Lepisosteus oculatus: one gene and its partner. The protein of the gene in region 1 interacts with the protein of each later gene in a biochemical or structural test. Links are inferred from orthologs where the notes say so. Each region holds a gene or a part of one and is shown in the gene's direction. Other genes may lie near its edges.

Region 1 (15,916 bases):
GACCGGAGCACCCAGAGGAACCCACACAGATACCACCCAGGAAACTGAACCCAGGGCCCCTAGCACTGCAAAGCAGCAACGCTCAGCGCTGTGCCACCAAAGAGGTATCCATACCTGCTGCTTAATATCAAATAGTTTTGTATGCCATTGGCTGCTGAATCGCAGGCCCTTCTTCTACGAATCAGACCTCATACGCCAGCTGTAGGAGAATCGGGGCTCTTTCCCGTGGATTCTCCCCAGAACAGCTGCCGCACCCATCAAGAAAGTCGGCCCTTTCCACCAGAGAGTCAAGGTTTCGGCCCCGCCCCCGACCCCCGCGAAGCACCTGGGTTCATGCTGAAGCTGGTCTGGAGGTTGTTGCGCCTCATGCAGGTGACGGTGTCGGTGACGGCGTGCATGTGGGAGTAGAGCTGCATGGCGCACAGGGGGAACTGGGGCGCCGTGCCGTTCGCTGCCACGTTGTGGTCCCGGAAACACTGCAATGCCAACGTCAAGAGAGACGTCAACGGCCGGGGAGCCGAGCATGCTGGGATTGCTCCCCCCCCCCCCAAAAAAGGCAGCACTCACATCTCCCATCTGCCCCGGCCGACGTGAGATTCTACAGGGCCAGACAGCTGAGAGCAGCCGATGCGGTTACGTTTCAAGATCGAGAAAAGATTACAATACCGGAGAACAGAGAGCGCGAGAGAAGGCAGTAAAGGTGTTCTGAACCCATCTTCTGCAATGCCTCTTTATCACATAACTAATCTGGGAATCCAGGATGGTTTTGATTTGAGCAGAAATAAAAATGACATCCCAAGAAACCTCAGCTCCTACTCTCGAGCGACTAACAGGAGGTGGACCTTTCAATCCCATCTTCTGCCAAGGATTCTGGGATGCTCCCGCCCCCCTCCCCTCTGGACCGAGCAGCAGGCTCACCTTCTTGACGACGGCCGTCTCGTTGTCATCGTGCAGCATGAAGACGGGGAACGGGAAGTCCTCGTATGACAGGCCGTTGCCCAGGGGGTTCCAGACGGTCTGATTGCAGTGCGCCAACTCCGGCCCGTACTTCTCCGAGTACACCCCTGAACGGCAGGCCGCCGGAGACAGAACGCCAACGTTAGTACCGCCCGAACCGCGCCTGCTCCGGGCCGGGGGACCGACGGAAGGGAAGGGACACGGCGGCTCCTACCGGTGGCCTCGTTGGGGCACTTGTGGTGAGGGGAGAACCCTGCCGCGGGGCCGGCTTTCGGGGTAACCACGGCGACGCCCGCCACGCGGGAGGAGCCCTTCATCTTCATCATGACGTCCCTGCGGGAGAAACAGGCAGGGGGAAAGGGAGGGGAGGAGGAGGAGGGAGGGCCCCGTTCAGCTCTTTCACTCGACTCGGAAAGTTGCAAGGATGCAACACGAGACATCCCAGGGATTTTCCCCAGCAGCACTCATTCTGCTAATCCTAAATCTTACAACATCCCAGGGATTGCAGACCCAAATGCCTGCATCCAGGATTGTGATCCCCTTGGCACCTAAACCATTAATAATCACAGAGGGCCCAGATTTAAACTAAACATCTAGATGGCTGCAAGAGGAAAAAAAAACAGTCTTATATTTTGCCCGAGTCTCCTTGTTTCTTGTACAAGCTCTTGCCTTTACCAATCACGGTCTCCTCATAACCCCCTCTCTGAACTGGCTTCATCACTCTGCTCTCCTCCCCACTGAGAGCTGGTGTGTGGTGAGAGTACTGGAGCATCATCCAGGTGGGGCTGCACACTGGTGGTGGTGGAGGGGATCCCCATTACCTGTAAAGCTCTTTGGGTGGAGTGTCCAGAAAAGCGCTATATAAGTGTAAGGAATTATTAATATTTTATTAATATGATCACCCAATGGTTCAAATCTCTGTTGCTATGCATTTTTTGCGATTACTAGCCATGCCCAAGCCTGGATCAGAACAAACTGATCGGTGGGACCAGATCTAGGAAGGGACTGACCCGTTCAACCTGATGAAATAATAAACTGGATGCATTTCAGTTAAGTAGTTATAAATTTCAGAAAAAAAAACACAAGAGGCCTGAAGCAGGAGAGGAGCATCACTGGGAAAGAAGGAAGAGACGGAGCCGGAGTGTGGGGAGGGTGGACTCGTACCTGGTGAACAGGTGCGCCTCCAGCAGGACCATGTAAGGCGGGTTGGGCCCACTGGCCAGGACCCAGTTCAGATCCGATTCAGCCTCCACCACATGGATCACACCGGTGTCGCCCGAGATGGAGGCTGACGGACAGGGAAGGAGAGAAGTCTCAGAACTAGTCTTATCCACCCTTGTCATCGGCATCGAACGCAAGGCGAACTATATAGGCAGCCGCCAGCACCAGCCACCTGACGAACAACTGGGCGACTTGTGTTCAAGGGGGGCTGCCACCCCAGTTTCTCGAACTGGTTATTAAATCTTGGTAAGGAAATAAATTCCTTGACCATACAGAAACAGATGTACAGATTCCAAATGAAAAATAAAATCGTGAAAGTAGTGCAAGTCGCCGGGCGAGAGCGACAATTCACTAGAATTGTGACGTGAAGCGGCCCTTCCTGCTCACTAGTCACTGTAATAATTATTGTAATGTGATGTACGAGTGAATAAGTCCAGGTTGTGCAGCAGACATTTCACAGCAGAAATGTTCCAATGTGACCTGCAGGCAGAGTTGACTAGGAAGTAGTATTTGTTGGCAAAACCGTCTCAAAGTCGAGAGCAATGTTTCTGCTGGCTTAAAAGAGATGGATTCACAAGCCTGCTTGTTTACAGTGCAAGAGGGCTGCTTCACCTCACCAGACGTTTCGGTGCCTTGTTCTGAATCGCAGAACATGACGCTGCTCACACGTGGAAATGCTGTCTATTTTGCGATGTGAATTGGAGGTTTTACAAGTTACCGTGTACCGTTTACTCTTACGGTGGTTTGAAAGGCACCCATTGGATTCTTTCCAACCCCGAAACAGGAAAGCGGCGTTGCAGCTCCCCTTGAAACCCACGCCGTGTAGACTGACCCACCTCAAGCCCGAACCTGCCCAGAGTCAGATCACTCCACTCCGCTTGACAGACTCCTACCGGCAGATCGGCTCGGCTGACTTGCACGAAATTTGACTTGCGCAACGGTTTCCCGGATGAACCTCTTGCGATTCCCCCCCCCCCCCCCGAGAGCCATGCACGTTCACGGTTTCGCTCACTTTTACTCAGTTTTACGGTAGCAGGTTCCTACCCTGACCTATTCTCTACACTCCTAGGAGCGCATCGAGCAATATATTGAACGCACTTGCATCCAGCAAGCAAATGAGAAGACAGACGTCAGTCATGGATTAAACAGACTCTGCAGCAATAAAAAGAAAAACCCCAGGATTTAGGTAGTGGACGTTATTTAGTTTAAATACATCAGTTCCAACATCCATATCCATAAAGATGTCCACAAGCTGGAATTAGCTTGGATTGAATTCCAGGCCATTTTAAGTCAAGTGGAAGGGCCAGAGACCGAATTTTATACAGCGACCTGGAGTTTATACAGCGCAAACCGTGGCATACCCTGACCCCCCCCCCCACCTACTACCGGAGGTGCCAGCCCCCGCCATCTTCCTCCCACCACCCTCGCCCACCCGCCAGCCCCCGCCAACCGCTACTCACACTGGCAGCCGATCTGGTGGGTGGAGTTGAGCAGGCGCACGCAGGGGGCCGTGTTGTTCAGGAGCACGTAGATCTTCTGCTCCACCGAGTTGGCCAGGGTCCCCGCTGGGGAAGAGAAAGAGAGAGCCGCCGTTATCATCATCATCATCATCAGCAGCAGCAGCAGCGCCACCACTAGGGGCCCAAGCGGCTTTGCTAGTGGAACCAATACAGATCCCAACGCCGCCGAGCTCCGCGTCCTGGCTGGAGGAGGGGTTGGGGGGGCGAAACAGGTCGCAGACTTCGAGCGCTTGCTGCACATAAGAGGGACACGACCAAATACCAACGTTCCATCATCAGACTACCTTCTGCAACAGTTGTGGGAAAGCTAGTTAATGGTTTCTTCTTCTCCCGAACCCGAACTGATTACTCTAACACCCTGCTTGCTGGGGTACCTAAATCCACACTGAATCAACTTCAGTATGTATTGAATTGGGCAGCCGGAATCCTGACCAGGTCCTGTGCAAGTGATCACATCACTCCTGTCCTGGAGTCCATGCACTGGCTCCCTGTCAGTTTTCGTGTGGACTTCAAAATCCTCATGCTCACCTATAAGGCTCTGCGTGGCTTGGCACCTCAGTACCTGTCTGAGCTGCTATCGTCCTACTCCGCACCTCGCAACCTTCACTCTTCTAATTCTGGTCTCCTGTCTGTACACCAAGCCAGTCTACATTGTATGGGCAACAGGGCCTTCTCCTGTTATGCCTCAAAGCTCTGGAACTCTATTCCTAAGGATATCAGAGAGCCACCTTGTCTAAACTCCTCAAATCTAGACTCAAAACCTTCTTTCTTGAGAAGGACTTTTATTGAACTGGTTCTATGTCTGCCCCTTTACGTTCCCACTGTATTCCAAACCCTTATTGTAATTGTTAAAATCCTGCTGTATCCTCTCATTGTGTGCTTTTTTCATAGCGTGATGCGCTTTGAGAAATCACTTCTAATAGCGCTATATAACAAAGTTTATTGTTATTATTCATCCATCTATTTTCTAACATCTTCATCCAATACAGGACGCCAGTCCATCACAGGGTACACACAAATACACACACACACACACTCACACCTGGGCCAGTCTTCCAACTAACCTACCAGCATGTGTTTGGACAGTGGGAGGAAATGTGAACAGACAGCACCCCAGGTCTTGAATTGTACTGGTTGTTGACTATTTATTCCCAACACAACCCATCTTCCCAGTCTCATACTGAAACCATAGGACCATTCTCGTGTACTGATTTACAAGAGGGACGGTGAGCTCTTTATAAATAAAAGATGAACGTAACGAGAGAGATTCTCGCCATCGCTCCAACTACGGTGCTTGCTATGTAATGACAGCCAGAATCACCCTACATTTGCTTAACGCTTTTAAAACAAAGCATTTCACATAGATTGAAGCAAGGTACATAAATTAAACTCGCCGCTGAAAAAGAGGACACTGAGAGCGCCTTATTTCAATGCGACATCTTTTATTTAAGTATACAACCACCTCGGAAATAATGATTGGTTTGTTTGTTTGTTTGTTTTTGTAATGTTTGGATGAGCAGAACACTGCGAGAATTCGCCCGGTACTGCTACAATACTGCTACTGAAATTCGGGAACAGGTTCTCATGAGGCTCCGAGTTCGGGTTTGACACACAAACCCCGAGGTTTGCGTATGACTAAATCATATGACCACCAGCAGCAAGTGAGCCGGAGACATCGCCTCTGCTAAGACACAAAAAAACGCGTTTAATTGAAATAAACGACCACATAAAATAAACGCGGATACGACCAGGCATCTGTCCGAACTGAAGTACCGGGTGACCGAGAAACCAACACTGACCGCCCTGCCTATGTGAAGTCTCTCCGGGTTAACACGGGCATGCAGCACGGATTTTAAACAAGTCTGATTTCCTGGTGTCTGGGGGAATGGACTCTAGGGATACACTCAGGGGTTATTAGTAGCAAGTAACTTTATTTCTGTAACAACAGTTGCTCAGCTTCGCACTAAACCTCGGTTGCGATAAATTCGGTATCGCTTATTTGTCGATGTATTAAAGTATACTTTTGTTTAAACTGTCTTGATTCACCTGTACAGAGACAAATGCACAATTTCTTTGGGAAAAACAAAATCTGACCCAAAGCTTCCTACTTCATTTCGCTTTCCAGTCTTTGGTCGACACTGCAGACCGCAGTTGATGCAGCTTACCTGAATTTAAAACGCAGACTACGATCAGAAATAAAATCCACTGTCGTAAGGAAGAAGCCATCTTCCTGATTTTTCGGACCATCAAACAATACACTCACAGGAAACACCAAACCTCCGACAGAGAAGGATGGGCGATCGCCTTTCCTTGTCATAGAAACGCGACGGAGGTGCTTTCCAGACCTCAGTAAAATGGCGGCACTCGCGAGACATCTGTACCCGCAGAACTTGACCTTACCAATATGTCAACTGGCTGGCACTATGTGTCCGGAACACTGAATGTATTTGGTATTTGGAGGTATTTAGGTAGGTCTTACAATAGTGGAATTTAATATATAAACATGATTTTCACTACATAAATATTATATTCTTGCAAACATGGTATAATAATAAGATTTGGTTAGATTAGTCAGATTATAGTTAAATAATTAGTATTGATGAGATGATTATATGTATTATTATTAGTTTATTATCAATTGTTAATTGTTAAGTAATTAACTGTTAATTAATTGATTGATAAACAAAGAGAGTATTCCTTTTTGACTTATGCTTCTTTTTTGGATAGATTCCAGTTACACCCAGGAATATTGTAACGCTTACGGCCGACAAGCACTGTGTGTAAGAGCCGGCGTACCAGAGCGGGTGACGTCACCGCCCTTCCCTGTGATAGCAGGACCACAGCTTCTGGGCTGTGGAGAGATCTCTCTTTAGCTCACGGGGCTAGGTCGCTGCAGAGAGACGCGGAAGTCCCGGGTTCGAGCCACCTATACTTTGGGCCGACCAGATGCGGCAAGGGCGCCCGCCTGAGCCCCCGTTGCGTTACAATATGTTATTCCTGAGAAAGTGGTGAGTTTGTTCAAAGGTAATCGTAACTGTCATTATTGACCTTCCGGCTTTTACAGTGAATCTGTTCTTCAATGGTGTGGAGATAAAAGATAAAAAAAATGCAATAATAACTCCTTAAGGAATCCATTTAAACCCTGCTTCACTCCTCTCTGCATATCCGTCTGGAATTCAAGTAGGGAGCTGTGTCAGCTGGAGAAGAATATGTGAAGGTTTTATTCCATGCTGAAAAAGAAGAGATACATGTGTTCAGCATGGAATAAACCTTTACCCATCCTTCTGTTTGAAAATATGACCTAGAAAATTAGTTTGGACAACCGCTGACAGATACTTCCTTCCTAACAAGATTAAAGAAATACAATTTGACACTTTTTCTGAGGTTGAACTAACACTTAAATAGATTCAGAAAAGAAACTGAAGCATTTATTTGTCAAATTAATATATATATATAAACAACTTTGTTTTGGATAGACTTGTGAAACATTATATGTAAGCTTTTAGATATGAATCTTAGAATTAAGGAGTTTGATATTAGGTTATACTTTGCAAGATGCAATATGGAAAATTAACCTTTTATTTAGAAGTAATATGTTAGTGCTGCTGGGTAAATCTCACATTTACAAGACAAAATGGTCTAAAGTAATTTCCTCTATAATGCTTATATGGAAGAAATTCAGTATTACTTCAATACCATTCAAAATTGAAAAACAACAAGGCAAAAAATACAGGTGATGTAAGTAAATATATAACATGGTGTTCAGATTTGTAATTACCTCTGGCAGCATATTGTTCTGTGGTTTTATTGATCAGTTGTCTTTTGCACACACCTTTTCACTTTTGTTTGTATTATTTGATGTTCAATAAAATGTTGACAAAACACAAAGATTCTCCCTACAGTGTTCATAATGAATAAATAATGGGTCATTTATAATTATTGATAGTGGGTTGCAATTACCTCCACAAAACACAATGCTCACACCCAAAGAAGGCTCCACAGCCGAAACTTTGTGTTTCCTTTCTTCTCTTTTCAGCAGAAATAAACTTTTTACTTGTTCCTTTATGGTCCCGTACTACTCCTTCTTTAAATGTTTATTCGATGGAAATGCGATATTACTTACTGTACACTCCATGAAAAACATGAACAATAAAAAGCCATCTTATCTTGTTCAGAGTTTTAAATATCTCAGGAAACACAGTTTAAGAGTCTCTTTTGTTGATTTTTCTTGTTTAAGATACGTTTTCTCCTTTAACTCATATTATCTAATGTTCAATAAAACTCAAGAAAAAAAGAAATAAATTAAATGAATGCCATGGAAGAATTCGTGTAAGATTTTCATGGTGTGCAAAATATGAACTAATCCTTACACTTATATAGCACTTTCCTGGACACTCCACTCAAAGCGCTTTACAGGTAATGGGGATCCCCTCCACCACCACCAGTGTGCAGCCCCACCTGGATGATGCTCCAGTACTCTCCCCACACACCAGCTCTCAGTGGGGAGGAGAGCAGAGTGATGAAGCCAGTTCAGAGATGGGGATTATTAGGAGGCCATGATTGGTAAAGACCAGGGGGAAATTTGGTCAGGGTAACACCCCTACTCTTTTCAAGCAGTGCCCTGGGATTTGTAATGACCACAGAGAGTCAGGACCTCGGTTTTACATCTCATCCGAAGGATGGGGCCTTTTTACAGTATAGTGTCCCCGTCACTGGGGCATTGGGACCCACACAGACCACAGGGTGAGCGCCCCCTGCTGACCCCACTAACACTTCTTCGAGCAGCAACCTAAGCTTTCCCAGGAGTCTCCCATCAGGGTAGTGGCCAGACTCACACCTGCTGAGCTTTAGTGGGTTGCCAGTTGTACAATGCAGGAGGATTTAGCTGCTGGCCATAAATGTAAGAAGATTCTTCCGCTTAACTATGTGTTAACGTGACTAAATAATACCCACAACAACTATAAGCACATTCAATAGGTTAAAAAAAAGCAAAACAGGTATTCTTTATGTGATAATATACTGCACGGCAAATAACTTCGACCTTCTCAAGATGGCCGACAGCGGAGGTCGTTGAACGCCGAGAGCCAACGTGGAGCGTTTTCCGTGTTGTTTGAATCAGCTTTATTGTTCACAGGAAAGAGGAAGTGGGTGGCGAGGTGACGTGTCAAGGAGTCCGAATCCACTGATGCGGCCCTAGGTGGGTGTCAGGGGAACAGGAGAGGAGATTGAAGTAAAAATATATATATATAACACAATAGTAGTAGTGTTCTAGTCTTCTTTTTTTGCAATAGGATAGACCTTTGTTGGGCTTGAAGACGAGAGATCCGCGGCAGGTGCGAAGATGCTGACCAAATTTGAGACGAAATCGGCCCGAGTCAAAGGTACGGCGGCGCTTATTTTTTTATTTTTGCGACGTCGCGTTTGTCCTTCTTGTCCGCGCACATTTTGAAGACCTCCGAAAATAATCTAAATAAAAGAAAACACAAAAAGAGCAGCGTTTTTCGTGGCGTGATGACGTGCTGCTGCTGCTGTCGTCTGCAACCCAGCAGCCGGACTGGGTGTGTGACGACTGATTCAGCTGCAAACATGGTATAATAATAAGATTTGGATAGATTAGTCAGATTATAGTTAAATAATTCTTATTAATGAGATTATTATATGAATTATGAGTTTAGTTTTTTATCAGTTGTTGATTGTTACATAATTAACTGTTAATTGATTGATGAACAAAGAGAGTATTCCTTTTTGACTTATGCTTTTTAGTTATTTGACTTTGAATTATGCTTAGTTTGTTCAAAGGTAACCGTAACTGTCAGTATTGACCTTCCGGCTTTTACACTGAATCTGTTCTGTACAGCTTGACCGCAGTGTAAAAGATTCAGCATTTATAATGTAATCTTTCAATCACTGATGCTTTTACGGGGGTCAGCCGAGTGAAAACCACAGAAAACCCACATAGCCATCCTGTTTAGAGAAAACAAATCATTAATCATGTTTTTGATTGACCCGATTTGATGTTGGTGTTTTTATAGTTACCGATCCTTCCTGCAATCTTTCCTAGAACGCAACAGGTAGTTTTCGGCGGACTTCTTTTTTTTTCTCTCGCAATCTCACATGTATTTCTTTAAATAAAAACGAACTCGGCTTTTTTTTCTGCATTCGGGTTTAGTTGTAGCGTCAGAAAAGGAAACATTGACGATTAATAAAAAAAAAAACAAAGCAAAGCCGGAGACGTCGTGTTCTGGATCTTGTTTCCCTGTTGACTGAGCCAGTGTGTGCTCTGTCCGCTCCTCTTCCCCCACAGGGCTGAGTTTCCACCCGAAGCGCCCGTGGATCCTGGCCAGCCTCCACAACGGCGTGATCCAGCTGTGGGACTATCGCATGTGCACCCTCATCGACAAGTTCGACGAGCACGACGGTGAGGAAGGCGCTCCCTCGTAAAGGAGCAGCCCCATCTTTGAATAGTTCCCCGGTGATACTGCAGTAAAGAAGAAGCAAGTGCATGAAACAGATGAGGGACCTTAACAACCGTCACTCTAAGAAAATATTTCACACGTCTGATAAGATTCTATCAAAAAGCCCAAGTCTCTGTTGCACAATGTACAGTGTTTTGATCCCCATTTCTGCTGAAAAGAGAGAGGTCAAAGAAACACAAAACTGTGCAATAAAGGGTTCATTTATCATTATTATCCCCTGGGGGATATTTTAATGCAGAGTCCTACACTACAATACAAATAATACAGTAGAACGGTGTTTCAGGGGGCAGGAGAGTTATTTCACATGAACAAGTAATCGGTTTATTCCCTCCTAAAAAAGAGCAAAAAGAAAACAACGTTTTGGCTGTGGAGCCTTCTTCAGGTGTAAGCTTCTGTTTTTGTGCAGGCCCGGTCCGAGGGATTGATTTCCACAAACAGCAGCCTCTCTTCGTGTCTGGGGGCGATGACTACAAGATCAAGGTAATCGTGTTGCTGCCACACTGCTATATATGCACCACGCGCGGTGCACGTGCAGACAGCACTCTATGTGCGGACACGCCGTGTGCGTGCAATCGCAAACCTTTATCAACAGTCACACCATCTCCCCACAGTGTAGACCCAAGTCCACATACTGTGTATGTGCTGGCATAGGTCATGTAGAGTCTACAGTTACATGTGTTGAAATTGTGTGCCAATAAACCAAGTGGAGTTGTTGGAATATTTCAACTTAAAAAGTTCTCAAAGATCTTTTTCTAATCAGCCTATATTAATGGGAGTGCCTTTCCAGGTTAAGGTGGGCTTGAAGAGCAGAAGGTACACAGAAATATATTGGATTTTAATTAGGCCTTTGTCCAATCGCAGTTCTGCCAGAAACACGATTGTCTTCAGTCTTCTTTCTCTGCCGTTTTGCTGCCTGCGTTGTCAGTTAGTTCAGTCTCCTGTAGTGCTGTGATTGGATGAAGACAGGCTGCACTCAAAGACACAGGAGTCATGTGGGCTGCGAGTGAAGTTCTTCAGGTTTGGTGGACGTGACGGAGAAGAACAGAGAATGTCTGAGAGCTCTGTTTCACCAACCCCCAATTCCTGCCAGGATGAGGCCACTGAGCGCTTTGAGGCAACTCAGATTAAATAAGTTGAAATAAGTTTTGATTATAGCTCCATCTATTTTCGAACCCCTTCATCTAATTCAGGGTTAGGGGTGGGGTGGGACTGGAGCCTATCCCAACAAGACATGCACACAGTCACACTAGGGAGTTTTCCCAGAAGCCAGTTCACCTACCAGCATGTCTTTGGACTGTGGGAGGAAACCAGTGCAAACCTTGGGAGAACATGCAGACTCCACACAGACAGCACCCCAGGTCCAGAATTGATCCCAGGGCCTCAGTGCAGCAAGGCAGCAGGGTCACCATTGCTGCCCCTTTTTTTTTGTGTGTGATCAGTCAAAAAATAATGTATTTGAGCAGGTGATGTGTTTATGTGGGGATGGGTGTGGTGGGTCCCAAGATTTTGTTTTTTTCAGGAGGAGTGCCATGGGATGGAAGAAGGTTGGAAAACCGTTGTCTCTGTCAGAGTGGTGTGACTGCTCATTGCGCACTCCAATGTCATTCGGTTTCCAATTTCTCTTCCCTCTCCGTAGGTTTGGAATTACAAACTGCGACGCTGCCTCTTCACTCTGTTGGGCCATCTGGATTACATCCGGACTACTTTCTTCCACCATGTGAGTGTCTCCCCTCCGCCCAGCCCTGACATTATTCCCTCTGCCTGTCTGTTCTGCTCATGACCTCATTGAAGTCTATTTAAAACTGAGAACAGGAGGCATGTATTTACACAAAGGGTGGTGGGAGTGTGGAACAGGCTGCCCAGCCACGCTGTCGAAGCCAGTACCCTGGCTTCTCTCAAGAAACATCTGGATGAGATCCTCAGATCGATAAACTGCTAACTATCAACGGGCGAACCTCTGTTAGGTTGTCTCGTTCCTCTGTTTTAGAAGAGCCTTAATCATCTGCACCCGATCTGTAATGTATATCTAACTGGAGCCGACCAGCACTTTTTCTGAAAGAAGGGTTTGCTTGAGTTTTGAACAGGCTGCGCACAGGGTGAGAGTTTCTCTGACAGATGCCTCTTTGCCTTGAAGGACTATCCCTGGATTCTGAGTGCCTCCGACGACCAGACCATTCGCATTTGGAACTGGCAGTCCAGGACCTGTGTTTGGTAAGTGCATTAAAGACCATGAGATCAGTAGTCTGTGCTCTTAAAGAATATCAGCACCATGTTGATACGGATCAGTGGTCTATGCAGTTCTCTTAAAGAATATACGCATCATGTTGGTGGAGATCTGTGCTCTGTACAGCTCATAAAGAATATAAGCATCGTGTTCAGGCACATCTGTGGTCTGTACAGCTTTCTTAAAAAATACACGCCCCATGTTAGTGTCGATCAGGAGTCTATACAGCTCTTTTATCTGTCCACAGGCTTTGGCTATTGAAGTGGGCTGTAAATCAGAGATTGAAAAGAGCAGAGGGCACTACAGAACTTGGTCATCTGTGTCCTTATATGCTACAGTCATTGTTCTATTTCATGTGTGTGTTACATAGTACTCTGTGCACAGCTGAGAGGGTGTTTTAGTGAGTAATGTGATTTTTATGTTTAAGGTCAGTGGGTTTTGCCTTGCTCTGCTTCCTGATGACATTTCCTTTGATACAGACAGGGGGCAGCGGTCAGAGAGTGCCCTTTCCTAACCCCTAACCCGCCTCTCTCTCTCCCTCCCTCCAGCGTGCTGACTGGGCACAACCACTATGTGATGTGCGCCCAGTTCCACCCTTCTGAAGACCTGGTGGTGTCGGCCAGTCTGGACCAGACCGTGCGAGTGTGGGATATTTCGGGTGAGCGTGTGGGTGGGGGAGAGAGGGCAGAAGGCCAAGGGGGAGGTAAAGGGGAGACCGGGCTGAGTTTGGGGTAATTTGGGGCTTGAGGGGGGGGGGGGATATTAGGGTTATGGACAAGAAGGTACGGACATCCCCCGTAACGCCTCCTCCGCGGGTGAGGTGATGGGCACCCCCCGAACCCCAGTCTTCCAGACTTTTGTCGCCTGAAAGAGACACTGCTGAGGTAGCCTGCTCTGACACCCCTGTGGGTAACAGGACAAGGCAGTCTTCTAAAGGAATTGAGCCATTCAGAGAGATTTCAGCACAAGGTAGTTGTGGCTTGCTCCATCTCATTTTGCTGTGGAGTCTTTCCACACAGCCCCTGATGGCACGCTGTAATTGGCTAACGATGGCTTCTGTAAAATGGAGCCTAACGCAATGCTTCTGAACATGCTTAATTATATACTAATGCTAATGTGAGACAGATTTAAAGAATCAAGTAATAGGTTTATTCCATGCTGAAAAGAGAAGAAAGAAAACGCAACGTTTCGACCAGACCTGAAGAAGACTCCACGGCCGAAACGTTGTTTTCTTTCTTCTCTTTTCAGCATGGAATTGTGGACTTTCCATCAGTGGCTGCCATGCACAACTGCCTTAAACTGAATGGAAAAATTGATAAAACACTGTAAAGTGGCAGTTTCCTTTTTCTGTCACCCCTTTCAAAAAGATCTACTATATGATTCCTCCTTTAATAAGGGAGATATGTTGGTTTAACAAGTGGTTGGATTTACGTGGGCAGAATCAAGTCTGTTCCAGATACTATACGTCGTGTCTCTGGTGATCCAGTGAAGTACTCGCTCTCCGAGTGTGTATTGGAGCTACTGCCCCGTGCGCAGGCAGTGTCAGTCTGTTGTGACTGAAGACTGGGGCAAAGGGTCCACTCTCACAGTCCCGCGGGAAAGGGGGGCGGAGTCGGGGGGTGAGGTTTTGTGTCGCTGCATGCGTTGTGATGTAACCTTCTCCCCTGCTTGCTGTGTGGAGGATGCTGGGAAGTGACTGTGTGATGTCATCGTAGCTCGCGCCTTCTTTATTTGCCTGCCTGCTTAACTGCTCTTAACACCCAGTGGAAATGGCATTCGGCTGCCTTCACACAGAGCAATGCTTTGTACCAGTTTTTCTGGAAATGACCAGCAAGGGCTACCACAAGCCTCTTCAGAAGCCCTAGTGACTACAGGAGAGGGCTTATCCTGGTTTGCTATGCACACTACCAGTACATTTGCACCCCTTGGTTGGGACACTGCAGTACTTTGCAGGTCGTCTCCTTCCCCCAGCAAAATTCTGATACTCATTCATACAGTAGCAATGGCGATCAGGGCAAAGTATATCACTTTAATCAAGGAAACTGCAGGATCCAAACTGACCCTCTGGGAACAGGTCTAGATCCCCAAACGCTGTTCCGTGTTACTGCCATCCCTTGCGGTCATGAGATTCTTCCCCCCGATTGTCTTAATGACAAAATTGGTTTCTCAGATTTTCCTTCAAAGGATTGACAAGTAAGAAAATATACTTCAGTGAGCTGGATTCGCAAAGAGCACTGGAGAAAAAGGATTACTTCGGAGAGTGCTCGCTAATGCGTTTCAGCAGGGCCAATAACCAAAGTTAAAATGTTCCTTTAACCAGAATCCTAACGCATGGCCTGCACTGTGCTTTAGAAACTTTGTGATTGGAGGCATGACTGATCACATGACCTTTTCTCTTCTAACATTTCCCCCGGTTATAATAAATTAGTTGGCATGCAGAAAAAGAGGGAATTCTTTCCCCCAGTTTTAGTTGCTGCGTGTCTACTACAGTGTCTTGAGTTTGGATTTGTCTTAACCAGCAAAAAGCCTCGATAGCAATATGTGAACATTGCAGGTACCCCACAAGTGCTCTGAAGGCTGACCTCGTTCTTTTCTTGTTTTGTTTTTGCGAGAGTTAAACAGTTTCAGCCTGTGCCTGATCGCTAACTGCATGAAATCCAAAACCTATAACTCCTGTACTGACAAGGCCGTCACACAAACCGAAGTCTGTCCTGATCTTAGCCCTATTCCCTCCCCCCCACTATCCACATCCCCACCAGCCGACGGTCCGGCATTGAAACTCTTCCCCCTTGCCCTTCTTCCTTCCTTTTACACCCACACACCACCGGAAACATCTACAGTTGCGCTTTTGGTTCCTGTTCTACCTTTTTTTTTTTTGCTCCTGTTGGAATTCTGTTTATAAATCCCTTTGGATGAACTATAGGCCTGGTGCTCTTCCTTTCCTTTTTGGGCTAGAAGGTACTTGCGTTAAAAGGAGTCAGGTCCAGTAATCTATTGTGTACAGTGGTAAGTAATACATCCTTAAAGCAGTGTTTCCCAGCTTTTTATTCATTTAAATATCAATCCCTTTCATAAGGACCCTGTAAGTGTAGCTCATAGGTGTTTAGGATTAACTTTCCCCAGTACAGTTTTTTGTTTTGTAAAAGGAAGAATATCAAGGTTCCTACAGCTTATCTGTATAAACAGGTTCCCAACAGGAGTAAAGCTGAGCACTTGATGTCCTGAATTTTTTTTGTTATATGCATTTGGAATGTGTTTTTTTTTCCCCCCCATCATCCAGAGTTTTTTTTTTAAAAGCTCTGCGTGTGCAGAAGGTATGGTGGGCTTGTTTGAGAGATCTCCACTGAGTTCTCATCAAAGCTCACTTGATTTTCTTCGCACGTGCTGGGCGTATTCCGAAGTGTCGTTTACCCGATTCGGCGATTGCGTGGCGCCAGACGTCTCGAAAGCCGGGGGGGGGGGGGGAGATCTGTGTGCGTCCTCGCTCGCCTTGCGCTTGGCTCTGTGTCACGGTTTGT
Region 2 (16,053 bases), on another chromosome or scaffold:
GACTGGAATGAATAAAATGAAAAAAGATAACAAAACTAAGAAAATGTTGAATAAGAAAACTGTAAAATCTAGTACCCAGAATCTTTCCTCTCTGGAAACTGTTCTGTTCATGCAGGAAGACGGTGTTTCAGAAAGGTGACCCCCTTTCCCACACACAGAAAAACCCCAACTATTGACCCACAATATGACCAGCAAGTATCTCCGTGACTCACCATCCAGCAGGTCCAAATCTGAGTCCTGTTCCATGGTGGGACTGAGTGACTGTGTCTGTCTGGGTATGTCGGGGGTTGTCAGCGCAGAAGTGTGACCTGACCTGTAACTCGGTCTCCTCTAAAGCCAGCGGAGCACTCCGTCTGCTTTCCACGACAGGTGAGCTCGCGAATTCACTATTCTCGCCAGCTGAGGGAGGAAGACCTCCCTCCCTCCCTCCTCTCCGCCCGCCCTCACTCTCATCCGCCCGGGAACAACTCCCTTCTTTTTTATTATTTAAGTCTTTTAACTTAAGTGTGCACGTACAGCCTGCGTGTGACCACAACACATTGTTGCAGACACAAAGAGCTCGTACATTCTATGCCAGCAGCTAAATCACCCTGCAAATTACAGCTGGCGGCCCCACTGAAGCCCAGCAGGTGTGAGCCTGGCCAGTACCTGGATGGGAGACCTCCTGGGAAAGCTAAGGCTGCTGCTGGTAGAGGTGTGAGTGAGACCAGTAGGGGGCGCTCTCCCTGCAGTGTGTGGATCCTAATGCCTCAGTATAGTGACGGGGACACTATACTGTAAAAAAGACACCATCCTTCAGATGAGATGTTACACCCAGGTCCAGACTCTCCATGGTCACTAAAAATCCCAGGGTGTTTCTTGAAAAGAGTATATGTGTTACTCTGGTGTTATGGCCAAATTTTCCACTGGTCTTTACCGGTCATTGCCTCCTATTAATCCCCGTCTCTGAACTGGCTTCATCACTCTACTCTCCTCCCCACTGAGAGCTGGTGTTTGGGGAGTGTACTGGCGCACTCTGGCTGCCATCGCATCATCCAGGTGGGGGCTACACACTGGAAGAGGGGATCCCCATTAACTGTGAGGTGCTTTGAGTGGAGTGTCCAGAAAAGTGGTGTAGAAGTGTAAGGAATTCTCCTTCTTCTCTATATCATTGGAATCTGATGATCTCAGGCAGGAGTTTCTAACACAAGACCTCAGGATCCAACGGGTTTCTTATCTCTTTAAAAACAGTCGCAGCTTGAGGCTGTGCAATCCCAGTCAAACCTTAAATTAATCAATTTACTAAAATGTTTAATTTATATAGCGCCTTTGCCACATAAATATATATATATAGTTATTACTGTATAAACAACTATAGAGACGACAGAAGAAGCATGTTTATATCAAAATATATTATTACAATTGTGACTTAAGGAGACCTAGAGAAGACCTATTGGATTCTCAGGACTGGAGTTAGGAATTTCTGATCTAGTGCCTTAAGAAAACCCAATCCTCAAAGGCTTCCAGAGGACTGGGTTTCCACTGTACTTCTTTGATCTTAATGATTGTATGGAACAGAATTGTCAGACCCTTAATCAGCTGCTAATTGAAAAATATCTGCAGTTCCTGCAGGACTGCAATTGCCCATTGTGGGTTTGTGTGCACAGAGATACAATCAAGCTGCTGTCAGAATCTCATTTCTTCTCCTTCCTTGAGCGGAAGGCAAGTGTTAACTACTGCGCATATATATGATTAAATATCTAACTTATTAAAGATAGTGAGGGCACGGTGGCACAGGGGCTAACATTGCTGCCTCACAGAGCTGAGGCCTTGCGTTCAATCCTGGACTTCGGGCTCTCGATTCCATGACCCTGATCCAGATGTTTAGAAAATGTTTGACTTTCTTCTCCCCCCGGAAAGGGAGCAATGTGGCCTTGAGGGTGAGTCTCTGGACATCTTGCAGGTGATCTCAGTCAAGGTCGACGGAGAACTTTCTTTTAGGAACTTTTGATTTGAGGATATTTGATTATTTTGACTTGACTCTGAATTTCTGAATGTTATTTTTGACCCAATTACCTCCAAGTCTAGCGGGCAGTGTAGAGTTGCACGTCAGTCCCTGCATTCATTACAGGTGGGCAGTGGGTTCGGGTCCCCACTACAGACGCTGATGTTGTAGCCAGTGGCTCCTGTCCACCCAGCTGTAGGAATGGGGACCAGTGTTTGCTGGGAGAGGGGTCTGTGGTGGACTGGGCTCTTTGTTTGCGTATTGCCATGGAAACCAGGATGAGCTCTGGACCGACTGACTTGATGTGGCTCGAATCCAGAACTACCCACCTACCAGCCCCTCCGGACATGGGCCTGTGCAGCCAAGAGGAAAGAGGAAGAGCCGCCCGCAGTATTGTAATCGATCTCCACGTCACCCCTGCGTTCTGGCCATTGTGTCTGTCAGGGTTTCCACAGAATTCCAAGCAGGGAAAACACAGCTTAGCTGTCCAAAGGCGGATTTACTTGGATCTGCTCAGCCCATTGCATCATCAATTATTAAGGGCATCAAACAAACAAAAAAAACCTAATTAATAATGCATAACTTTTTTGTTAGACATAACGAGGCGGGAAAAAGGTCTTTGACAATAATGCAGCAGGTGTATTAAGCTGCTTTCAGGCAGAACCCTAATGATATCGTAGGCAAAAATAACTTCCACAAACCTTGAACAGAAAGCAGTACAAAGAAGGTGACATAAAGTCTAAAAGCAATTGAGTCAGGTGCAATAGGTGTGGTATGAATTCACTGCTCTTTTTTTGGGAGGATTTTTGGTTATGCAACTTTGGCGTGGAAAAAAATCAAATATACCTGTGCAGCCAGAATTACTGCAGTATATTCAAAGCTGTTACAGATCCCGAGATCAGTTCCCGACGGAAGCACTTTCTGTGTGGAGTGTGCATGTTCCCAGTGCCAGGTTTCGCCACATGCTCCTGTCCAAATGTAATGCTAACCGTTATAACTGCTGTTTCTGAGCTGGACGTGTGTGTGTGTGTGTGTGTGTTTGCCCTGTGATCTGTCCAGCGGTCAGGTCCGCCTTGCGCGCTGGTCTTCCGGGATGAGCTCTGGGTTGACTCAACGCTTTACTGGGAACCGGCGGCTTCCCGATAACGGATTCATACGAAGTTGTACGCTGGCTAACGCAGGCAAGGATGTTTTCCAGTAACTGCTTATTTTCTCAGGGCGTTTGTAATATTATATAATCTAGTTTTAATGACGTTTGCATTCTCGATAACCCAGCTGGGGCGACAGTCGCAGTACAATACAGTACAATGTCGGGTAACTACATAGCAATTTCTCCCCCTAGTGTACAGCCGCGGCGCAACAAATACAATTCATCTACATTGACAAGGAATACCAACACTTCTAAAGGTTTCACTTAATATAGTGTTATTGGGTTCCAAAGGAAAGACGTAATCTTTTGTGTAACAACATGCTTTAGCTGTTGTATTTAGGAAAGCATTTACTTCTGGGTTATATCCCTGTAATTAAGGTTTATTGACATACAGATCTAGCGTTTCTCTGTAAAACCTGGCAGGTGTGTTTGCTTTTTAGTCATCCTGTTCTGTTGAAGAACACATGGTCCTCGGTAGTCACACCTCTCCTAAATTTCACGTCCCCGCATAGCCGGGACCGGCGTTGCCAAGGCAGCGATGCATCTGCGGGTTACCTAGGCAACCGCGGAAGCTGCTCCGCCCGGATGAGCTTCCTCGCTGCCGCTCTCGGAATCTGAACGTTCACACACTTTATCACTAAGATGTTAGGCGCTGTGTTTTCTTGCATTCATCCCAGCAAAACACAATTAAGCGTCTGTGGATTATTTATTGTTTGACTGTCATTATCTAACAAGGGATTATACTATTATGAATTGATCCACAAAGTCCCACTAAAGAACTAAAGGAATGTAGCGTATTTATGCAAACAGATTTAGAACTGTAAGCTTCCAATAAATGTTCTTTAGTGTATAGTATTGTTTTGATTAAATGCACTGCAGGCGAGAGAGAAAAATCTAATGAAAGACGCATTCATTTAGAAAACGCAGTCCTAACATCGACATCCGGTGGGGTTAACTTGAAGCCCACAGCAAAGAGCTGATAACGAAGTGACGTATTCATCGTTTCTTGGTGCCTTTTTGCAACTGACCAGGCAATAAGTGAGCTGTTTCTCAAAGCGTTTACGGAACCACGAAGCGCAGAGGCGACGATGTACCCCAAACCAAAACCAAATGGTACATTAACATTTCAAAGTCTTGGAAAAAAAACAACAACAATGTCCCTTCCTTTGACCTATTTTACCAACATACCGTAAGAAGATACAGCTTTAGGTATCTGTCTTCAAGTGCAGTTCGGAAGGGCAAGCAGATCCAGACATTGCACGGCGAAGATTTATCGTGCTTCCTTAAGGATGTTTTTATGACTCAACAAATCAAACAGGATATATTTCACGCGCGCCAGTGCCGCTAAAACTATACAGCTTGTTTCCCCTCCAAACAAGCTGCGTTTCGTCATACGCACAAATTAAATACTGATAATCGATCTCCGTTCACACTAATGCAACTGTGCAGAGTTCCTCTTCAGGCTTTCTCATGCAAACCCATGTATGTGGAAACACACACACACAGCTGAGGACGGCCATCCCTGCCGCCGAGTCAATGCGAGGCCAAAGTTCATCTCCGTTTTTTAACCGATCTGCTGGGTGGGGAGACAGGAGAGCGCTCGCTCGTTTTTAAATTCATTTGACCCCCCCAAACAAAGGCAGCGCATGTGAGAGAAAGCAGACATGCTACTTCTGTTTATCTCGACTAGCAAGCCGACACTGACAGCTGTCAAGCTCTCGGGGAACATCGCACACACGACCACCACCAAGTTCGGTGAAGAAGTTCAAACGTTTATAGACCTGGCAAAGAAACGGCACCTCGTGCGGAGCCAGGAGGGGAAGTCAACTCTGATTAAACGTTTTAATTCTACCGTTACTACACTTTTTTTTATTTAAAATGCTCTCTCCTAATGGCAACGCCCCCCATAATTAATAAAACCGTGCTCTGCGCGCAAGAAATAAATGTAGAACTTACCTATAAGCGTTCTTTGGCATGTTTTCAATGCGATCTATCACGAATATAGGTTAAGATTTGAAATTAACAACGTCTTACCTTCCTTTCTTCAATGCACACCGGATACAGCGCGTAAACGCACAAGAAGCGCCTCTCCGTCCGTTTTGTAAACTTTACTCAAGAGTTGCTTTTTCAAATCTTCATCGCAGCAAAATCCCGGACCTTCATTATGGCCAAATCAGACAATGGTCTTTTTTCTCTCTCTCTTCGCCTCGCAATGTCGGAGTCTTAACTTGTCGAAATCGGGTAATTAATTCCCTGCTTATCCGCGTCTTGCGTTAGACGGTATGGTCTGTGTCAGTTAATAGCTTGTAAATAATTGAAGAAGTTTTTTTTCTCTCTGGGATCAGTTACAGATGGGGGGGTTGAAACTTGACTCCTTACAAAGTTTCAAACTTGGGAGACTTGGGAGGCTGGAGTTTCGGCCGCTTGATTGACAACGTGGATGACCAATGACAGCACAGGACCTGCTGTAATCTGCCCAATCGGATAAGGCACGGAACGTAATGTGCCCGCCCCATTCCTTCCCTGCCCCCAGCCCCGTTTCCAGTAATTATCCACAAATCGGGTCCCAGCTCCGTGGCTCAGTTTCCCAAAGGAAATGGCATTAGCAGAACAATGGGAGGGAACTGAGAGGGATTTATTTGTTATAATATAAACAAACAGAGCTGCAGCTGCACGCATTCACGTTTTTTAATTAAAAAAAGATAAAACTGAAATCCAAACTAATAACGTCCTTATTCGTCTTAAATAAAATGATGTCATTTCCTGACGGTGCAGAGATCGCAGTCCAGATGCTACTACTACTACTGACGATATCAAGATATCCACAAAACGTAACATCCATTTTCTAATACGCCTCTTTTAGATCAGGGTTGGTGGGAAACCGGAGATTATCCCGGCAAGCAACGGGCGCAAGGCGCACTCCAGGTCAGGAACTGACCCCAGGGCTGCAGAGCTGTGAGGCAGCAGTCCTAACCACTGTGCTTCAAAATGCAACATGAATATTATTATTACTATTAGCATATACATCAAGACTAAATTAAAAGCCAGTTTTCCGGCACAAAATGTGGGTACTAAATGCAAGCTCCTTTAAAACTGAGAACAGGAGGTATTTCTGTACACAAAGGGTTGTAGGAGTCTGGAACAAGATACACAGCCCTGCTGTCGAAGTCGGCCTCTGATTTGCTGTACACATTTTCTCATGACCTGAACCTTTAATTATCTCGGTTTGACCAAGTGGCAGAGATGAACTGTCATTTCTTCGGAAACACGTACAGCTATAGGTGCCCATTGTTTGTTGATATAGTGTGTTTCTATGAGCTCAGACGGAAAGCTTCACGGTGGGGTTTCCCAATCAGCCCCAGAGCGGACCAGACATGGTCCCTTATATTAACAGACGGATGCTATCTGGACAGTATTGTTACAGCTTTCCGTCGCATGAATGGAGGCCTGTTAGAGGAATTCCTGTATTTAAGACAATTTCCGAACTAGACACGCATTGTAAATAAATATATATTGTAATTAAATGCCGTGCCCCATTGTATCCAGACACACAGCACATTTGCTTTGTCATATTAACGCAGGGGGAAGGAAACGCTCGGCATTGTACGTTTTCCTGTGTTAAACATTAGCAAACAGTACATGATCGGGGATTTCTATTCTGATTAAAAAGAAATTACATTCTAACCTATATCGCGATTGATGTACTTTATATCCGTAGTGCTGGGTTTCCTTTCCTTGGCCTATAATTGCAAAAGACATGAGAAGATGTGAATGGGAAATAACGCGATATGTCAAGAGCGATTTTTTTTTCCCCGCACTATATCCAGTCTTTCATGTTCTTCCCAGTGTGCGCGTGGGTTTCCTCCCACAGTCCAAAAGCATGCTGGTACAGTGGGTTTACTGGCCCTGAGTGTGTGTGTGTGTGTTCGTGTCTGTTTGCCCTGGCGTCTCGTCCAGGGTGCATCTTGCCTGTTACTCGAAGGGGTCGTATCCAAGTCACTTTCCCCCTGGAAATCTGTACCGCACCGCTACCTCAAGAACACAGGTTTTTGTTTTTTGCTTCCTCCGCAGGTGAAATGATTTATATGGAACTCACAAGGGCAAAGGACGCATACCGTGTGTGTGTGTGTGTGCACTCTTTCGGGATAAATAGCGGATTTCAGCGCACACGAACAGAGAGGCTCCCTTTTTATTCCCGATTTTGAAATCGCAAAGACACAAACGCACGCGGGAGCCGCTTATTTTGCGGAGCGCATGCGCATGGCCGAGTGGGGAATACAGTTTTCCAGGGGAGACAGATTTGGATAAGCCACCTGGATATGCTCCCCGCGACGCTGGGTTGGAAGAAGAGTTTAGAAAATTGTTGTTTTTTGGATTATTTAAACGTACTGCTCGCATTGTCCGCAAATATAGAGATAGTTGTTTTGCTTTTTTTCGATTGCGACGTAAACTTTTAAGTTAAAGTGGCTTTCGAAAGCCAAGCAAGGTTGGGACGAGTTAGTACTGCGATGAGAGACTTTTGACCCCTCGTTGCTGAGAGTGCCGCACGAATCTTAGATTGTAGGTCACCCTAAAGCACATGGTGCTGAAAACGATGAAAAACTAGGAAGACGTTTTTAAGTAACAGAACAATTCAGCGAGTAATGTTTCGCTGGCCACTAGGGTTGAAGGCTGCTCTCATTTTAGTTCAACGTCATCGCTACATTACTCAGTCGAACACACCCCTTGATTAACTGACCACAGGTAAATGGATCCACGACTTTAGAAACGAATGATTAAAGACTACCTGTAAAACTGGACGGACTCCCCTGCTCTAAGGAAAATGAGGCAACTGCTGTTAGCTTTGTTGATCGGCCAGTAGGTGGCGCTCTGATCCCTGGTTCACAATTTCCAGGCCATTGTCTGCCCAGGCATGGCGGCCGTGGACACTGTGCTGTAGGAGACGCCGTCCTTCGGCTGGGGCAATAATCCGAGGGCTCTGGGCTTGTAAAACGTGGCCTCCCTAGAGTTCCCCCTTTGCTTCCTTGGTTAAGGTCCTGTGCATGGAGGCTGCAGAATGGATGCCCCTAGTCACCAGGAGGGGGCAGCACCTCAGCAGTGGATGCTGTCAATCCTCCTCCTATATGTAAAGTGTTAGAGATAATGAGACAAGTGACAGGTGCTATATTAATACAGTTTCTTATTCTTATTTCAAACGGCGAATACAGTATAAGGAAGGTCTTTGCTGTAAGGCAAATATCGCTACGCGGTACAGTCCTTTAGCAATAAAAATATGAAACTATTTAAGTAGCTTTTATTATACAAGAAACAAGAATATATATAAGGCTTTACGTCATTGTTGATGAGGAGGCAGACAATTGCACCGCTCACAAAAAAATAGAAAAGGAGAAACACAACGTTTTGGTTGTTGAGCCAAATCTAAAGTAGCGGAACACCAGAAACGTTTTCTGTTTTTCAGCTTGGAAGCGTCCTCTGCATTGCTGCTTTTACAGCCATCGCACATTGACGCAGCTCACTACTCAAACATCTCTAATTGAAAAATTGCCACTTTCAAACTACATCTCCCATAACCCTCAGGGGGCGGGGAAACGCCAGCTCGGGAGATGACGTGGCTGGCCAACGTGTCCAGGAAGCTGCTCGGTTCGGTCAACATGGCGTCTCAACAGGGAGAAGTTGATGAGCTTTTTGATGTAAAAAATGCGTATTATATCGGTAGTTATCAGCAATGCATTAACGAGGCGCAAAAAGCGAAGGTAAGGAGTATCTGGAAACGTTATTGTGGACTGTTTTTTAAACATTGCACTGTTGATTCAGTAAGCTGTTATTATAGTGAAGAGAACGAACCGAGAGCACATAATATAAACACATCATACTTCGATGTTTTTACTACTTTGATACAGTTGTAAAAACAAAGATTATATTTGAGTACGAGTGAAACAGTCGTCAAGGAGAATCCAGATCCGTTTTTTTTTTGTGTGTGATCGTGATTTCTTACTGACAGTATTTATAGTGCATCTCTTGTATAATGTTGGACAAATCGAGCCGTTGTAATGAAATACAGAGGAGTTTGGGACACAACTGCGGATCTGTGTTTAAAGCTGTATCTGTTATGTAAACGTTTCACAGAAGTACATCAGAGGTTTAGTTTTTGAAGCGTTTCAGTACCTTTCCGGATTCACGGACGTGTCCTTCAAGTGGCTGACAGGGACTCGAGGTTAAATCTTTATAAAGGAATATCAAACAGTGACATTGAACCAATTCCCTGAATTTAACTCACATTTGTAAGTGAAATAAGTTGTTAAAAAGTGATTCTCCCCTCCCTTCCCTTTCAGCCGTCAAGTCCGGAGAAAGAGGTTGAGAGAGATGTGTTTTTGTACAGAGCGTACATAGCTCAGGTAGGTACTGCTCCTTCATTTCCATGCCTGTGCAGAGTCTCTCTCTGTTTTCACCTGCTCTGCTGTGACTTGTCCATTGTCTCTTGGCCAAAAAAAAGGGACTTTTTTGCCATATGTTTTTTTTACCATAGCAGAAACCAGGCTATAATATTCAAAGTCTGTTTGAACTTTACTAAATGTCTGATTAATTGATAATGATAAATCCTTTCATGAGGGTGGGAACAGAGAGTATATTCAGGGGAACAGTAATTAAGTTATTATTTTATGTATGGAAATTCTTGTACCTTAATAAAACCACAAATATTTAAAAGGTCTGTTTGCTCAACGTTCACACATCTCCAGGATTTGTATTGTATCAGTTTGTGTGCAGGTGTTGGCCTGGGTTGATTTACTGCTGGATCTGGAGCTTGAAGGGTTGATGCTCTTGCTTCGCTGGACTGGTCGTGATAATTCCTCGTGCTCTTTGATTTTCAGAGGAAGTATGGTGTGGTGTTGGATGATGTCAAACCCAGCTCTTCACCAGAGCTCCAGGCAGTCAGAATGTTTGCGGAATACCTCTCTAACGAGGCCAAAAGGTCAGGTTTGGGTCCGTAAAAGATAAACAATACCTAATCAAACTGAAAAACATCAAAATGAAGGGACAATGAATGGAAACCAGAGCTAACTGCATGTCTTGTAAATGAGATTGTCTGTCCTTGCTAGATGGAGGGAATGCATGTGAGTTCTGTGTTGCATAAGAGACATTTTGGAAGAAAAATCCAAGACAGAATCTTTTCTGCATATAAATGCCCTTAAATTCATTAATGATCAAGCTGTTATTGTGCTGCATGTTTTGCTCAGAGGTGTCATCCTCTGTTGCTATGTTTGTGGATTATTTCGAGTCTGTGCGTTTGACCATGCTAGATGTTTTTTCCATAAGAGAGAGAGAGAGTGTGAAAATGGTTATTTTAACTGCTTGAAGAATCTCTGCCTTCGGTTCAGGGATGCCATTGTGGCGGAGCTCGATAAGAAGATGGCGAAGAGTGTCGATGTAGCCAACACAACCTTCCTGCTCATGGCCGCCTCCCTTTACTTCCACGAGATAAACACGGACGCGGCCCTGCGCACCCTGCACCAGGGAGACAGCCTGGAGTGGTAAGACTCTCTGAGCCCGGCAGTGTCCGCCTCTGTCTCCCTTCTTCTTGAGGGAGGAGGACAGGGGGCTTAGAAATCAGCTCGGGGATGAAGCAGAGCAGCCTCTCGCCTCCATTGCCTGCAGGGTATTTGAAAATGTTTCTGATCGGCACCAAAGTGCAAAAGAATCCAAAATCTGCCGTCTGCGGCCACTTCAGAAGTCTGATTCTTCTTTAAATTGATTTGATTTCAAATGTGTCTGCCTTTAAAAGCATGTTCTGGAATATGCCCGTTGCCTTCCTTGCTTTTTGAAAACGTAGAATGTTTTTAAGAAGTTGCAGGGAAATCAGTTGTGAGATAATCCTAGAGTTTTTAACTGCTTTAGTTCCTGTCTCTTGGCTTTTCCACATATTCAGAAAGCCTGTACCCTCATGTCAGAGGCCGTGATTAAATGAACATAATGTTCAGACTTTAATGGGTGAATTTGCAGCAGTGATGTCTATATGCCCTGTACACTTATTACCTTTCACCTATCCCAGAATGTGCTAACATGGCTTTTTTTTTAAATATCTTGTTGTTGATTAATCTCGTTATAGCATGGCGATGACAATTCAGGTGCTGCTGAAGCTGGACAGGTTGGATTTAGCCAGGTAAGTGTGGTAGGGGGGAATGTTTTAATCTTTGGCCAAAACTGAAAGGCCAGAGAGTGAACATTACAGTGTAATTTCTGTGTGTAGTAGGATTTGCATGCCGTGAATTTCAAAAATAATTTATTTTGTAATCTATATTGGTTTAGAGTGCAGGTTTAGTCATCCTTCCAACCTTGAGAACATGTTTGTCAGTAGTTCTTTTGCAGGTGTTATGTGTGCAGTTTTTTAAATGTATTTTGTAAAGAAAACCTGCTGGTAAATTCTACAGTTTTAGGGAAATCAGATATGTTGGAAATGCTCCAGTTATTAATTCAGACGTTCTAGTCTATTTGGCACTGTGTTCGGTGCGTAGACTTGTTCATCGACTGCTGGGTGTCTCCACAGGAAGGAGCTGAAAAAGATGCAGGAGCAGGATGAAGACGCCACCCTGACTCAGCTGGCCACCGCCTGGGTCAATCTGGCCATCGTGAGTAGCTGCCTCCTCAGACCAGGGTTTGAGCACCTCAGACTTGTCTGGAGCACCATAGGATGGATTTTGCTTCAGATGCAGAAAGACCTCTCCTTCTGGGATATTCTCAAGGAATGACAAACGCCTACGAAGAAAACAGGTTTAGCAATATTTGAGGAGTCTAGCAAAAAGCTTTGGCTTTATCTGCCTAGCTGAGGGTCAGCAAGGAACAAGGAGGTCACGACCCCCAAACAGACAGGGGACAGGGACAGATGGAGAGGAGGGGTGTAGGATGACGCCGAAGGATAAATGCGAGCAAGAGAGAGGCTTGCTGGGATATTTATAGTTTTTTCAGGAAGTGATGTCATGGAGAGCGATGCGTTAGAGTAGTAGAGATGAGGGGGGACCCTCCCGAACTTCCTTTTCGAACCATATTTATCGTTCCGAAATAATAAAAGTCCTGTGAAAAACGTAGCCTATGAGTGAAGTGCCGCTGTCGAGACATTTTGGAGGAGTCCTCAAATTGCCGTTCCTCGTGAATGCCCATCCATGCATCCTCAGGAATACTGGTTGTACTGTTTAGCTGTGTGGGCTCAGAGGGAGGTCGGAGTTCTTTGAGGTCTCTTTGCCAACAGGGAGGAGAGAAGCTCCAGGATGCCTACTACATCTTCCAGGAGATGTCGGACAAGTACTCCGCCACTCTGCTGCTCCTGAATGGCCAGGCCGTCTGTCACATGGCACAGAACAAGTGGGATGAAGCCGAAGGCGTGTTGCAAGAGGCTCTTGATAAGGTACAGTAAGAATGCAGAGGAAGGAAGGGCCTAGTGATCCACATTCAGGTCTTGATAACCCAATGCCATTTTTTCTGACAGGGTTGAAGAGTGCTTTGCTACAGCATTTTGTTTTTTTTTCTTAGAAATCATTGATTTTTTTTTATGCACTTGCCAAGACCTGGCTTCCACTGCTGCCCCAGGTATACAAAGGCACACAAACGCACTCACCTGTCAAACCCTTGTGCCTTGAGGCACACTGCTGCTTCACAGTGTCTTACAGGAGAGTTAACTGTGAGTGAGGGAGTAGAGCATCCCCCCTGCCTTTGCTGCAGTCTTACAGGCGCCCAACAAGTCCTAGGAGTCACTGTTTGGACTGCAAGAGGGCCTTATCGGTCGGCTACGGTTGTGATCCAAGTTCGAACCATAGACCATAAGGATCAAGCGCCTCTGGGATTAGGCTGATTTTTCTCAAACCAATAACTCACAGCCGCGGGTCAAAGATCTGTTGGGGGCATTGCTGTTGTAGTTCACCTTATTGTACCATAGATGGCGCCATGCCCCTGTTACAAGAATGTTAAACAATAGCTTGGTTTCTAATGTTGTGTGCTTCTTGGGTACTGTTGAGATTTTGTGTGATACATTTTTGTGGTGTGTGTGTTAGTACTTTTTGATGCAAAATGAGTAACAGGAAGCCCATCTGTGCGCAGATAGTGTCGAAAACTGGAGAATCCTGTCCAGTCATGTTGTTGCAGCTGATAAACCTGACTTTTTACAAGAAATGTCCCGACAGAATTCTCCTAGTAGTTAGCTAACAAAAACTTAAGCAACCGGAATGGCCTGAATGTCTTTTAAATTCTTACGTTTCATAGGCACTGGTTTTTAAAAAGTTAATGGTTTATTTTGGCTTTGTCTTCTTAAAGGTGATTTTTTTTAACTTAGGCTAGAAGTAAATAGAGAGTGTCAAAGAGAAATCTTGTCATTTGAATTGTGTACATTCTGGTGTAGTAATAGGAATTGGTTGTTCTGCGCGCATTTCTGAAAACACGCCTTTGTCTCCACCTCTCACTCTGACTCTCTTACTTTCTGTCTGTCTTTCTCTAACAGGACAGCAGCCACCCTGAGACCCTCATCAACCTCATCGTGCTGACGCAGCACCTGGGGAAGCCTCCTGAGGTGAGCTACCCCCCGGGAATACTCTCTATCCCATTCATTTCCAAGATCAGTGTTTTAGTCCGACTCTTGGTTCCTGATGTAAAACAAACGAAGATGTTGCTGCATATAAAGACAGTTAAAAGTCTGGAAGTGGTAGGGTATAACCTTGAAATGAAAATGTACATTAAATAATTATTCAGTGATCTCTGGAAACTTTATTTTCATGGTGGAAGTAATCAGTGAGTTCCTGAAGTCCTTGAAAGATGGGTTGCTTACAGTTTTGAGAGATAAGAGGCAACAGATTGGTTTGTTTGACCTTTGGTGACCATCTCCAGACTGAATAGGGCTCACCATTCTGCATCATGTCTGTGGATGCAGCAGGTGTAAGTCTGCAAAATGCCTTACACGCTTGGGACACTTGAGATCGGCTTAGTTTGTAGATATATGGAAGAAACCTAAGATTCTCACTTGGATTTGCTGTGTTGTTAATTAGACATTGAAAGGAATTTGTTCTTTGTATTCCTGAACTATTGTTTTTTCTGTGCGTGTGTATTCCAAAATGAGCCTTCTTCCTAAAAGAGTATTTGTTTTGCTGGGCAGGTGACCAACCGCTATCTCTCCCAGCTGAAGGACTCGCACAAAGGACACCCCTTTCTCAAAGAGTATGTCGCAAAGGTAAGGAATGGGAAAACTGTGAAACCTCCACTCTGCATGACAGTCCACATAAGGGGGCACGTATTGTGAATACTGACACATGGTTATCACATGTGTCCAATAGGATACTACTTACACCTGTCTGTATGACACCTCTTGCCCTGAAGGCGACTCAGATAAATGACCCCTCCCACTCAGGTTACCAAATGTTTCATAAACTTACCTCAGGAAGACGCTACCAGTCTGTTAAAAACAGAACCACCCAGTATCCCAAGAGCTGTCTTTTTGCTCAACCAGAATTCCTAGTTATTTGTGTTGTCTTGATTATGTTTTATGTACGGTTTATGTAGAATTGTTTTTGTAACGCCAAAAACACCAGAGGTAATTCCTTGCACATGAAATGTACTTGGCCAATAAACGAGATCCTGACTGAGAATTGAAATGTCTTCTTCCTCCTGTTAATGCTGTTTCCTCCTTTTCCTCCCTCAAACAGGAGAACGAGTTCGATCGACTAGTGATGCAGTACGCTCCCAGCGCGTGAGTCTCAGCCCGGCCAGGACCGCTGTCCCCTGGGGATCGTTTTTCTGCTTTCTAAACGGCAGACATTACTCTCGCTTCCTGTATTTAACACATGGAGCTGGTCGCTCATTTTGCAGCTGGAGGTGGATAAGAAAGGAAGTGTCCTCTCTTGTTGTCCCTGAAGTGAATACGTTAATTGGCTGTAAATACATGCAAACGGGACCCCATTCCCTTATGTCTGTCTGCTGCAAAGCATCCTGGGAGCTGTGCGTGTTCCTTTTGTGTCAATTTATTTTGTCACCCTAAAAGACAATAAAGGTTTGTTTTTCAGGGGGGTCCTGTCAAGTTGAAGGAGGTGGTCATTTCGGTGCGTTTGTAGAAGCTAACATTCACTGAGCGATCTGCTGAGATGGGGTGTCTGTGAGACCCCAAAACCCATGTAAGGGGTGTCAACGGTTTGTTTGTTCTGGGAGGGAGGGAAGGCAGTAACAGATGGGAATATTCCCTCCGGTGATTAATATAACTTCTGCTTGGGGTTCTTGGAGCGAGTGAGGCAAGTCTGCAGCCTGGTTTGTTGATACTCGAGTTGGAAATGAGAGATGTATTGAGTCGGTGTCTCCCCTTGAAAGAACTGCATCTTGCGTGGGCTCGCGTTCACTCGTGTTCTTTCGTGAGCCTGTATGTGAAAGTCGCGACTAAGTCCATTTGCAACACGGGTGGCTACTGTTCTAAAGTCGAACAGGAGTAAGGATATAAAAATCTGTCATCAACAATGGACAGATGTTCACAGACTACGGCACTGAGAGCAAAAAATCACACTGCTCCCTTCTAAGCATTTTTGTATATTTTGTCCATTGTTAAAAAAAGAGGAAAACTGATAAATGCAGCGCAACGAGTTTTGATGGACTTTTTACTCTGCGTTTACACGTGTTTTAAAGGGAAAATAGTGAACACGGCACCTTATCGAGAGAAAACGGCAGTAACGCTTCATAGGCAGAATTATTTGGCAGTCTGTTTTAAAACAAAACAGCCCCCCAGGCATTCTGATAATCAAATATCCAAAATTAGGTTTCATCTGGCTCACTATTAGGGTTGGGCGCTATTTCATTCACGAAATGCGAGCTCCAAGCTGGTGGTGTGCCGTGACGGTTCAATGACGCCTACTGGCAGCAGTGCAAAGGAGGTTATTCACGCAATGTGCTGCGAGTTTTCCAC

Evidence for each region.
Region 2: the proteins of copa (region 1) and cope form a complex in vitro, tested with the Homo sapiens proteins (3 studies listed by BioGRID, with this or other methods). The link is inferred for Lepisosteus oculatus from reciprocal best matches to the Homo sapiens genes COPA and COPE.

Annotation. Positions count from the first base shown.
Region 1 is NC_090699.1:8,457,353-8,473,268, forward strand, and holds the start of copa (coatomer subunit alpha), read left to right. Parts: upstream 1-8,817; 5' UTR 8,818-8,895; intron 8,896-8,902; exon of another isoform or gene 8,903-8,989; 5' UTR 8,990-9,039; coding exon 9,040-9,079; intron 9,080-10,002; coding exon 10,003-10,116; intron 10,117-10,580; coding exon 10,581-10,654; intron 10,655-11,810; coding exon 11,811-11,891; intron 11,892-12,308; coding exon 12,309-12,385; intron 12,386-12,946; coding exon 12,947-13,056; intron 13,057-15,916. Other genes in the region: ncstn (nicastrin), read right to left, coding at 326-476, 919-1,064, 1,172-1,290, 2,122-2,245, 3,639-3,743, 5,864-5,945. UniProt on the Homo sapiens protein: The coatomer is a cytosolic protein complex that binds to dilysine motifs and reversibly associates with Golgi non-clathrin-coated vesicles, which further mediate biosynthetic protein transport from the ER, via the Golgi up to the trans Golgi network.
Region 2 is NC_090724.1:5,801,635-5,817,687, forward strand, and holds cope (coatomer subunit epsilon), read left to right. Parts: upstream 1-8,722; 5' UTR 8,723-8,737; coding exon 8,738-8,887; intron 8,888-9,466; coding exon 9,467-9,529; intron 9,530-10,003; coding exon 10,004-10,104; intron 10,105-10,510; coding exon 10,511-10,663; intron 10,664-11,238; coding exon 11,239-11,292; intron 11,293-11,676; coding exon 11,677-11,758; intron 11,759-12,375; coding exon 12,376-12,531; intron 12,532-13,617; coding exon 13,618-13,686; intron 13,687-14,265; coding exon 14,266-14,340; intron 14,341-14,812; coding exon 14,813-14,860; 3' UTR 14,861-15,183; downstream 15,184-16,053. Other genes in the region: tnfaip8l1 (tumor necrosis factor alpha-induced protein 8-like protein 1), read right to left, coding at 213-246. UniProt on the Homo sapiens protein: The coatomer is a cytosolic protein complex that binds to dilysine motifs and reversibly associates with Golgi non-clathrin-coated vesicles, which further mediate biosynthetic protein transport from the ER, via the Golgi up to the trans Golgi network.